2 linked regions of the Stegostoma tigrinum genome follow. The protein of the gene in region 2 purifies or fractionates together with the protein of the main gene of each other region. This does not show direct contact. Links are inferred from orthologs where the notes say so. Each region holds a gene or a part of one and is shown on either strand. Other genes may lie near its edges.

Region 1 (3,921 bases), on a different chromosome or scaffold from region 2:
CACGGGTCCTAGTCTCCCCGCCTAACGGAAACAACTTCCCAGCATCCACCTTTTCTAATCCACATCCAGACTGTATAAATGAAATACTCATGCTTAAGTACACTCCATAAAATCCCACCCTCAGTTATCCATCATGGCCCAATGCGTCTCACACCACCACTCTTGGCTTTATGTGATAGTGCTGATTTGCTCAAGCGACTGAACTCTGCTGCAACCTCTGAATACAAATTTTCAATTGATGGAAATTTACTTCCTGTTAGGTGGAAATTTCAGAGAAAAGGAGGGTCAGCAAGTTGTCAAGTGTGGCAGTAAATCCTTCACACACAGAATATTCATCCATTAACCAGCTCAGTGCAAAATAACTGATGTAACTCTCATGAGTTTTGGTGAAAAAAGGATACGTCAAATGAAGCAGTACGCAAGAAGAGCAGCTCCTTAGATAAGCAAAGAGAAAGGCAGCACCTCAATGAAAGTGGATGGGGAGTAAGGAGGTAAAACGTGACTCTGGGCTGGGGGCAAGGGAGACAGACTGATATGACTTATGAGCTTACAACAAAGGAAACATTCAAAATAAGTCTATTGTATATGTTGCTTGACTGCTCAGACGTTAGCATAATGTCAATGTTGCTTAGACTTAACACTTCAAATTGTGCTCATGTAACAACTTTAATGTCTGTTTTTTTTCTCTTTTATCTACAGCAAACTTCAACATAATTAGGGTCATCGGCTATGATCTGTGAATGATAATTTCAACGGTATTTTGACCAGGATAAGAGCTTGACAAACTTAAATAAAAGGTAAACACAAAATACAGATTTATCAATTTATCCTTGGAAATAACTGGAGGATTTCAAACACTGTATAAGCCATTCAAACCGGTCAGAAAAATGTTTATGATTTGTTTCGAACAAATTTGAGATTTGATTTAAAACTCAATAAAGTAAGTTTCAATCCTAATAACTAAGGCCGGGATTTTAATACGCTACTTTTCAGAAAATAACAATCAGTTCACATCCATCAACATCTAATGGGCAGATGCAAGATTTTAGAGCCAGTTCCAAAGACCTCCACAATTCAGCGAGAAAGTTTAAACGTTTGGAGAGTCTCACTGAGAGTAATAATAAACACCGAAACGCAGCTGCTGCCCCGAGACGGTCCCAGATATTCTACTGCACGTTTTAAAGGCAGTTTGGAAAACGTTCCGCCGGTTTGTTAAATCCGAGAAAAGAGGAGGGCCAGCGGGCAAGTTGCGCCCGATACGTACCTTTATCCAGCTCCATCAGAGCAGAGTTGGCGTCCATTTCCTGCTCTCCATAACCACCTTCCGACAAAAACGGCCTAGCTGCTGCCAGCGCCATGATTAAACACCTACTCTAACCGCAGGGAACCAACCGTCTTCTCCCAGTAATGCACCGGGAGCGGAGGTAACAGCGGGACGACAAACTTCCGCATGGCGGCCAATCAGCGCGTGTGACGTCAATTTGGCGGGAGGTTGCAGAGCGCGGGAGTTGTGTTGAATTCAGTCGCCGGGAGTTTTAAGATGTTGTTCCATTCTGTGCTCAGTAGCAGAATTTGTAACAGAACGCGAGGTGAGAAACTACTCCAAGGTTATAAAAGGATTGTGTGCGCCTTTCTTTAAAGACATCACGGTTGTGATGTATTTGTGAAACATTACGTAGTATTGCTTGTTTAAGGTTTATTCATCAGAATGCTGTGCTCAGTGTTTTATTTCGCCAAAACTAATCTCAATCTTCGTAGCTGTAAGTAATCATTTAAAAATAGAAATTTGTCTAAGTTTTGTTATTTGAAGTGCAAATCAATCAAGTGACTCTATAATTGTATTGAAATGCGAAATTCCTGCAGGAAGTTTTATTGTTTTGGTCTCAGCTACACGAATTTTCGAAGAGAACAGCTATTTCGTCTACTATACGCATCACTGTCGTTGTCATTAACATGTTGGTAGGCTTCTAAATCTTACGAGAAAGCACGAATATAGAGCTACTTGACTGGATATTCTAAAAGGAGTTCAATTAAGGCTGTGGTTGAATGCTTTTTGAACGGGGCACAACAACATTTTTTAAATTGGGTGTTAGATATTTCTCGTATTGATAAAAGTTTTTTTATTTACAAAAAGAGGTATCAAATTGTAATAATTACTGCTCACCTGCCACACATTGCCTTTCAATTTACGATTTATATCGCGCTTGTTAGTTTAATGGTGCAGAGTGAAGTTGGATACAAAATCCCTCTCTGTCTCTCCCTCTCTCATATATATCTATCTCTATATATATATATATATATGTATATATATATATAGCTCTACCTCCCCCTCTATATACCTCCATTTCTCCCTCTCTGTCTTGCTCCCTCGCGTGCGCGCTCTTTATATCTGCCCCCCCCTCTGTATCTCTCTGCCCCCCCCCCCTTGCAATTCACATCAAGCAGATCTGCTAATGTGGTACATGTATCCGTTGTTCCCGTTGTGGCCTCCTCTACATCGGGGGAAACCAAGTGGAGGCTTGGGAACCATTTCGCAGAACACCTACACTCGGTTCGCACCAAACAACTGCAGCTCCCAGTCGCGAACCATTTTAACTCTCCCTCCCATTCCTCAGACGACATGTCCATCATGGGCCTCTTGCAGTGCAACAACGATGCTACCCAAAGGTTGCAGGAACAGCGACTCATATTCCGCTTGGGAACCCTGCAGCCCAACCATATAAATATGGACTTTACAAGCTTCAAAATCTCCCCTCCCCCTACCTCATCCCAAAACCGCCCAGCTCGTCCCTGCCTCCCTAACCTGTCTTTCCTCCCACCTACCCCCCCCCCCCCCCCACCACCACCACCACCACCACCACCACCACCACCTCAAGCCCCAACCCCATTTCCTACTTGCTAGCCTCATCCCACCCCCTTGACCTGCCTGTTCTCCCTGGACTGACCTATTTCCTTCCTACCTCTCCACCTACACTCACCTTTACTGGCTCCATCCCCGCCTCTTTGACATGTCTGTCTCCTCTCCACCTATCCTCTCTATCCATCTTCTATCTGCCTCCCCCCGTTTCCATATTTCTGAAGAAGGGTCTAGGTCCGAAATGTCAGCCTTCCTCCTCCTCTGCTGCTTGGCCTGCTGTGTTCGTCCAGCTCTATGCCTTCTAGGTGCATGCATGGTTAAATGTCTCAAATCATTCTGAATGATGAATGATCGCTTTTTTGTTAAAATGATGAAACAAATAAAAATTATACCCTATTCATGTGGATATCTCTTTATGGAATTTACTTATCTTAAAATTTCCTTTTGGTTGCCATTTTTCTTAGCCTGCACAGCAATGAAACATTGCTGTAAATTTGTATGCATGGAATATCTTATACAAAAGACAAGTTGCAGTCACTGCAGAGTTTTTTTTTTATTGTCAGTTGCTTGTCTGTTAGTTTCAACAAAATTTTATCTTTTTGTGTTTAGAGTCTCACAGCTACTCGTTAGAGACTCTGCTGCAGTATTACCAATGTAATCGGCGAGATGAACACACTTCATACGGTGACCTTGGGGCAGCAGTACCTCCATTTGGCTGCTTGTGGTCTACAGGTAAATTGACCTCTCCAGTGCTTGACTGAACTTCTTGCACACTTACTGTGTCTCTCTAATTTTAATTAGTTAAAAGCATACATTAGTTTGGAATCATGAAGTTACAAATTTGATTGCCACATTCGTGAAGTTACAGCCTGATTATCCAGAGCAAATAAGTGGTGCCTATGAAATAAATATTGTCCTCCTCAGTGATACTGAGGAACAACATGTGGACCAGTTGGATATTAAAAGTTCTGGGTGTGAGTTTGCTCGCTGAACTGGAAGGTTCGTTTTCAGACGTTTCGTCACATTTTTTTATTTGAAAACATATATTTTATTCATAAGATGTA
Region 2 (3,921 bases):
CTGTCCATCCTCCCTGGACTGACCTATCTCCTCCAGCTACCAAGAATACACCTCCTCCCACCCACCTTCCTGCAAAAATGCCATCCCCGATTCCCAATTCCTTTGCCTCCGCCGCATCTGCTCCCAGGATGAGGCATTCCACTCCCGTACATCTCAGAGATCCTTGTTTTTCAAGGGCTGCAACATCCCCCCCGCAGTGGTCGAGAACACCCTCGACTGTGCCTACCACGTTTCCGCAACTTATCCCTCACACCCCATCCCCGTAATAACATCCAAAAAAGAATCCCCCTCGTCCTCATGTACCAACCCAACCTGCGGATCCAATGCATCATCCATCAACACTTTTGCCATCTGCAATCTGACCCCACCACCGAAGGCATTTTTCCTTCCCCACCTTTGTCTGCTTTCCGCAGGGACCACTCTCTCCATGATTCCCTTATCCGCTCCACACGCCCCTCCAACCCCACCACACCTGGCACTTTTCCCTGCAACCACAGGAAGTGCTACACCTGCCCCCACACCTCCTCCCTCACCCCCATATCAGGCCCCAAGAAGACTGTGCACATCAAGCAGATGTTCACCTACACATCTGCTAATGAGGTGTACTGCATCTGCTGTACCCGTTGTGGCCTCCTCTACATTGGGGAAACCGCTTTGCAGAACACCTACGCTCAGTTCGCAATAAACAACTGCACGTCCCAGTCACGAATCATTTCAACTACCCCTTCCATTCCTCAGACGACGTATCCATCCTGGGCATCCTGCAGTGCCACAACGATGCCACCCGGAGGTTGCAGGAACAGCAACTCACATTCCAATTGGAAACCCTGCAGCCCAATGCTATCAATGTGGATTTCACAAGCTTCAAAATCTCCCCTCCCCTCCCCTCAGTGCATCCCAAAACCAGGCCAGCTCATCCCCGCCACCCTAACTTGTTCTTCCTCTCATCTATCCCCTCCTCCCACCTCAAGCCGCACCTCCATTTCCTATCCACTAACCTCATCCCGCCCCCTTGACCTGCCCATCCTCCCCAAACTGACCTACCTCTTCCCTACTTCCCCACCTATACTCGCCTCTACAGGCTCCATCTCTGTCCTTTGAACTTGTCCGTCTCCTCGCCACCCATCTTCTCCTCTATCCACCTTTGATCCACCTCCCCCTCTCCCTCTCCCCCTCTTCTGAAGAGGAGTCTAGGCCTGAAACATCAGCTTTTGAGCTCCTAAGATGCTGCTTGGCCTACCATGTTCATCCAGCTCCACACTTTGTTATCTCAGTGTTGTATTTACCATTTTTTTTGTCCAGCTGTACTTGTACCTTTCCTTAGGACCAAAAATTTTGAATGAAAACATAAAATTGCACTCTTCGTGCATAATTAAAGAGCATACCAATCACACTCACGTCAGTGTACAGAGGCTGTGACCACGTGACAAATAGTGGTCAACAACAGCACTTGTATTTTATACCGGTAAATTCAACAGCTCAGGGATAAGTCCCATAGCCACAAGTAGCCCTCGGGTACCTTGCGTGATTGGTCATTCTTGATGTAACACTGTAGGTTTGCAGGAGATTTGACGGTACAGGGTATGACACTTTAGCACTATGAATCCTCACTGGGTACCCAACTACTGCCCTCACAACAATTGTTGTCGCATCACAGACTGCAGATCGGATCTGGCATGACCACGATCGATACAGTTTGATGTCTCTGCAGCACAGGGTGGGGAGACCCTTAAATTTGGAATCCATGAACGGAGGAAATGAAAATTTCTGTGGTCGATCATTTTAGCAATAAATGTCTAATAAGTAACAATGATTATTATATAACACAGTGTGGAGCTGGAGGAACACAGCAGACCAGGCAGCATCAGAGCAGCAGGAAAGTTGACGTTTCGGGTCGGGACCCTTCCTCAGAAATGGCCGTGTTTATCTCTGATTCCAGCATAGGCAGTTCTTACCATCTCGAAATGATTCTGAAATGGACGTTTTACTAAAAGCTGATATGAATGTGACTCCCTCAATCAAACGTAAAACAGATTTTTAAACCTCACGTAGATTGTAGCAAGAGGAGAGACAATTTTACTCATCAAGGCTGAAACAAACAACCCTATGGTGCCCCGGGACAGAGCCGAGACAGTTGGACATCAGCCTGGAGAAAGCAGGGGGCGGGGAGTCTCTCTGTCATAGGAACCGCTCCTCAGGCTGGGCTCCGGCTGAGTGTCAGCCCACAGGCGGCAAAGCTCCGACAGCTGCCGGGGGTGGGGGAAGGGGAGTCCGCCCGCCGCCTCTACACGCTCGCCCAGTCTCCCCGTTTCACTCACTTGCCGGCCAGATCCTTGTGAGAGCCACTGGAGTTCATCAACACCGCCAACTCCTGCCTCATTGCCGCCGCCATGTTTCCCCCACCCCCCAACAAGGAGCTTCAACTGGCGGCAAGAGCGTCCTACACAGTCCGTCATCGGAGCAACAGCGCCACCTGCCCGCTGGGGGTCTACTATAGTCCTCCAGAAGCAGACGCAGACGCAGAGTTCAGTGCCAGAGAGCACTTGTGAAATACACGTTTGCAATTTTTGTCCTTTCCCAAATAACAAGGTGACCGTCTTCCCAGCACTATTTGTTCAATAAAACCAGGAATGATGAACTATTCAGCAGACTGGGCAACATCCATGGAGAAAGAAACAGTTACGTTTTGAGTAAGATGTCAATTCTTTGCCATTGAAATGGGGAGCAACGACAGAAGGGAAGGTTTGGGATAAGGCAGATGAGAGTGAAAAAATGACCTGAAAGAAAAGACAATTAGGACGGTAATATTGTTGGAAAAGTCACATTTTGTCAAAAATTTTTTTGTTTTGCACTCAGCAGGACAGTTCGTAAGAATGCCAATTTAAATGTTTTTAATCAACCTGTTTGGAGATGTTATTACAGAGCCCTGAAGCAGGTGGAACTGGAACCCAGGCCTTCTGACTCAGAGGTAGGGATGCTATCACTATAAAACAAGAATACCAAATTAATAGAATAAACATACATATTATATGAGTGGAGAGTGCTGATAAATCAGCATGTAGAATCTGTTTGGCTTTGTTTAAATTTTAAATCTGGCATTAGTGCTTACTCTGGACAAAACACTTTCCCTTACTAGAACCACTCCCTTTGCCTTTTGCTCCAAGGCATTTTGTTAGTCAATTTCTCCCATCTTTGGCCCTATCCCAGACATGTTTCTACATTAACCCCTCCCACATTTCAATGCCATATAACAATCACATTCTACTGCTATCAGTTATGAATAAGTATTTTTTGACTTGACAGTTAACTCTGTTCCTACAGATGCCGTCAGACCTTTTGAGTATTTGCAGCATTTTGTTTTTTATTTCAATGTTCTAACTTTTGCTGTTGTTTCACAGTGTAATGTCTATCAGAACAGAGATAGGACTTCTACAGAGATCAAATGGACTGAAGGGCTATCATCATTAGAGGGTATCTTCCAATTTTATCAAGAAAAGTTGAGTTTGAACATGATCTCTCCTATAATTTACAATGAATAATTGTTTTCAGTTGTGCCTGAACTTTCAATTTCTATCTCAGTTAAAGAGCTGCACATAAAGGGTCAAAATTGTTTGGAAACAATGGCCTTAGTATCTTTGAATTAGAAAGGAAAAATATAAGAAAGGGTTGACATTCCTGATCATTTTCTCTCAATCCTTCCTGAAACTAGAGATGTGAATTAAGATAGAATACAGACTGACTCTACTACTTCTCCACTCACTTTTGGATACCCTGACCACAGTAATTGTCTACGATCAAAGACAAAGAAGATTCATTGTCTAAATGCTGGATGATTGCTGGAACTTACATGATTTATCCGTCAGGATAGGACAGAGCAGAGTAGAAAATGCTTGAATGCAATGAATTTGCTGAATTTAGTGA

What was found.
Region 1: the proteins of cops4 (region 2) and dtl purify together in Homo sapiens (affinity purification with mass spectrometry; 3 studies listed by BioGRID). This does not show direct contact. The link is inferred for Stegostoma tigrinum from reciprocal best matches to the Homo sapiens genes COPS4 and DTL.

Annotation. Positions count from the first base shown.
Region 1 is NC_081362.1:54,599,785-54,603,705, forward strand, and holds the start of dtl (denticleless protein homolog), read left to right. Parts: upstream 1-1,496; 5' UTR 1,497-1,540; coding exon 1,541-1,589; intron 1,590-3,466; coding exon 3,467-3,589; intron 3,590-3,921. Other genes in the region: ints7 (integrator complex subunit 7), read right to left, coding at 1,265-1,358. UniProt on the Homo sapiens protein: Substrate-specific adapter of a DCX (DDB1-CUL4-X-box) E3 ubiquitin-protein ligase complex required for cell cycle control, DNA damage response and translesion DNA synthesis.
Region 2 is NC_081354.1:77,491,712-77,495,632, forward strand, and holds the start of cops4 (COP9 signalosome complex subunit 4), read right to left. Parts: upstream 2,444-3,921; 5' UTR 2,393-2,443; coding exon 2,319-2,392; intron 1-2,318. UniProt on the Homo sapiens protein: Component of the COP9 signalosome complex (CSN), a complex involved in various cellular and developmental processes.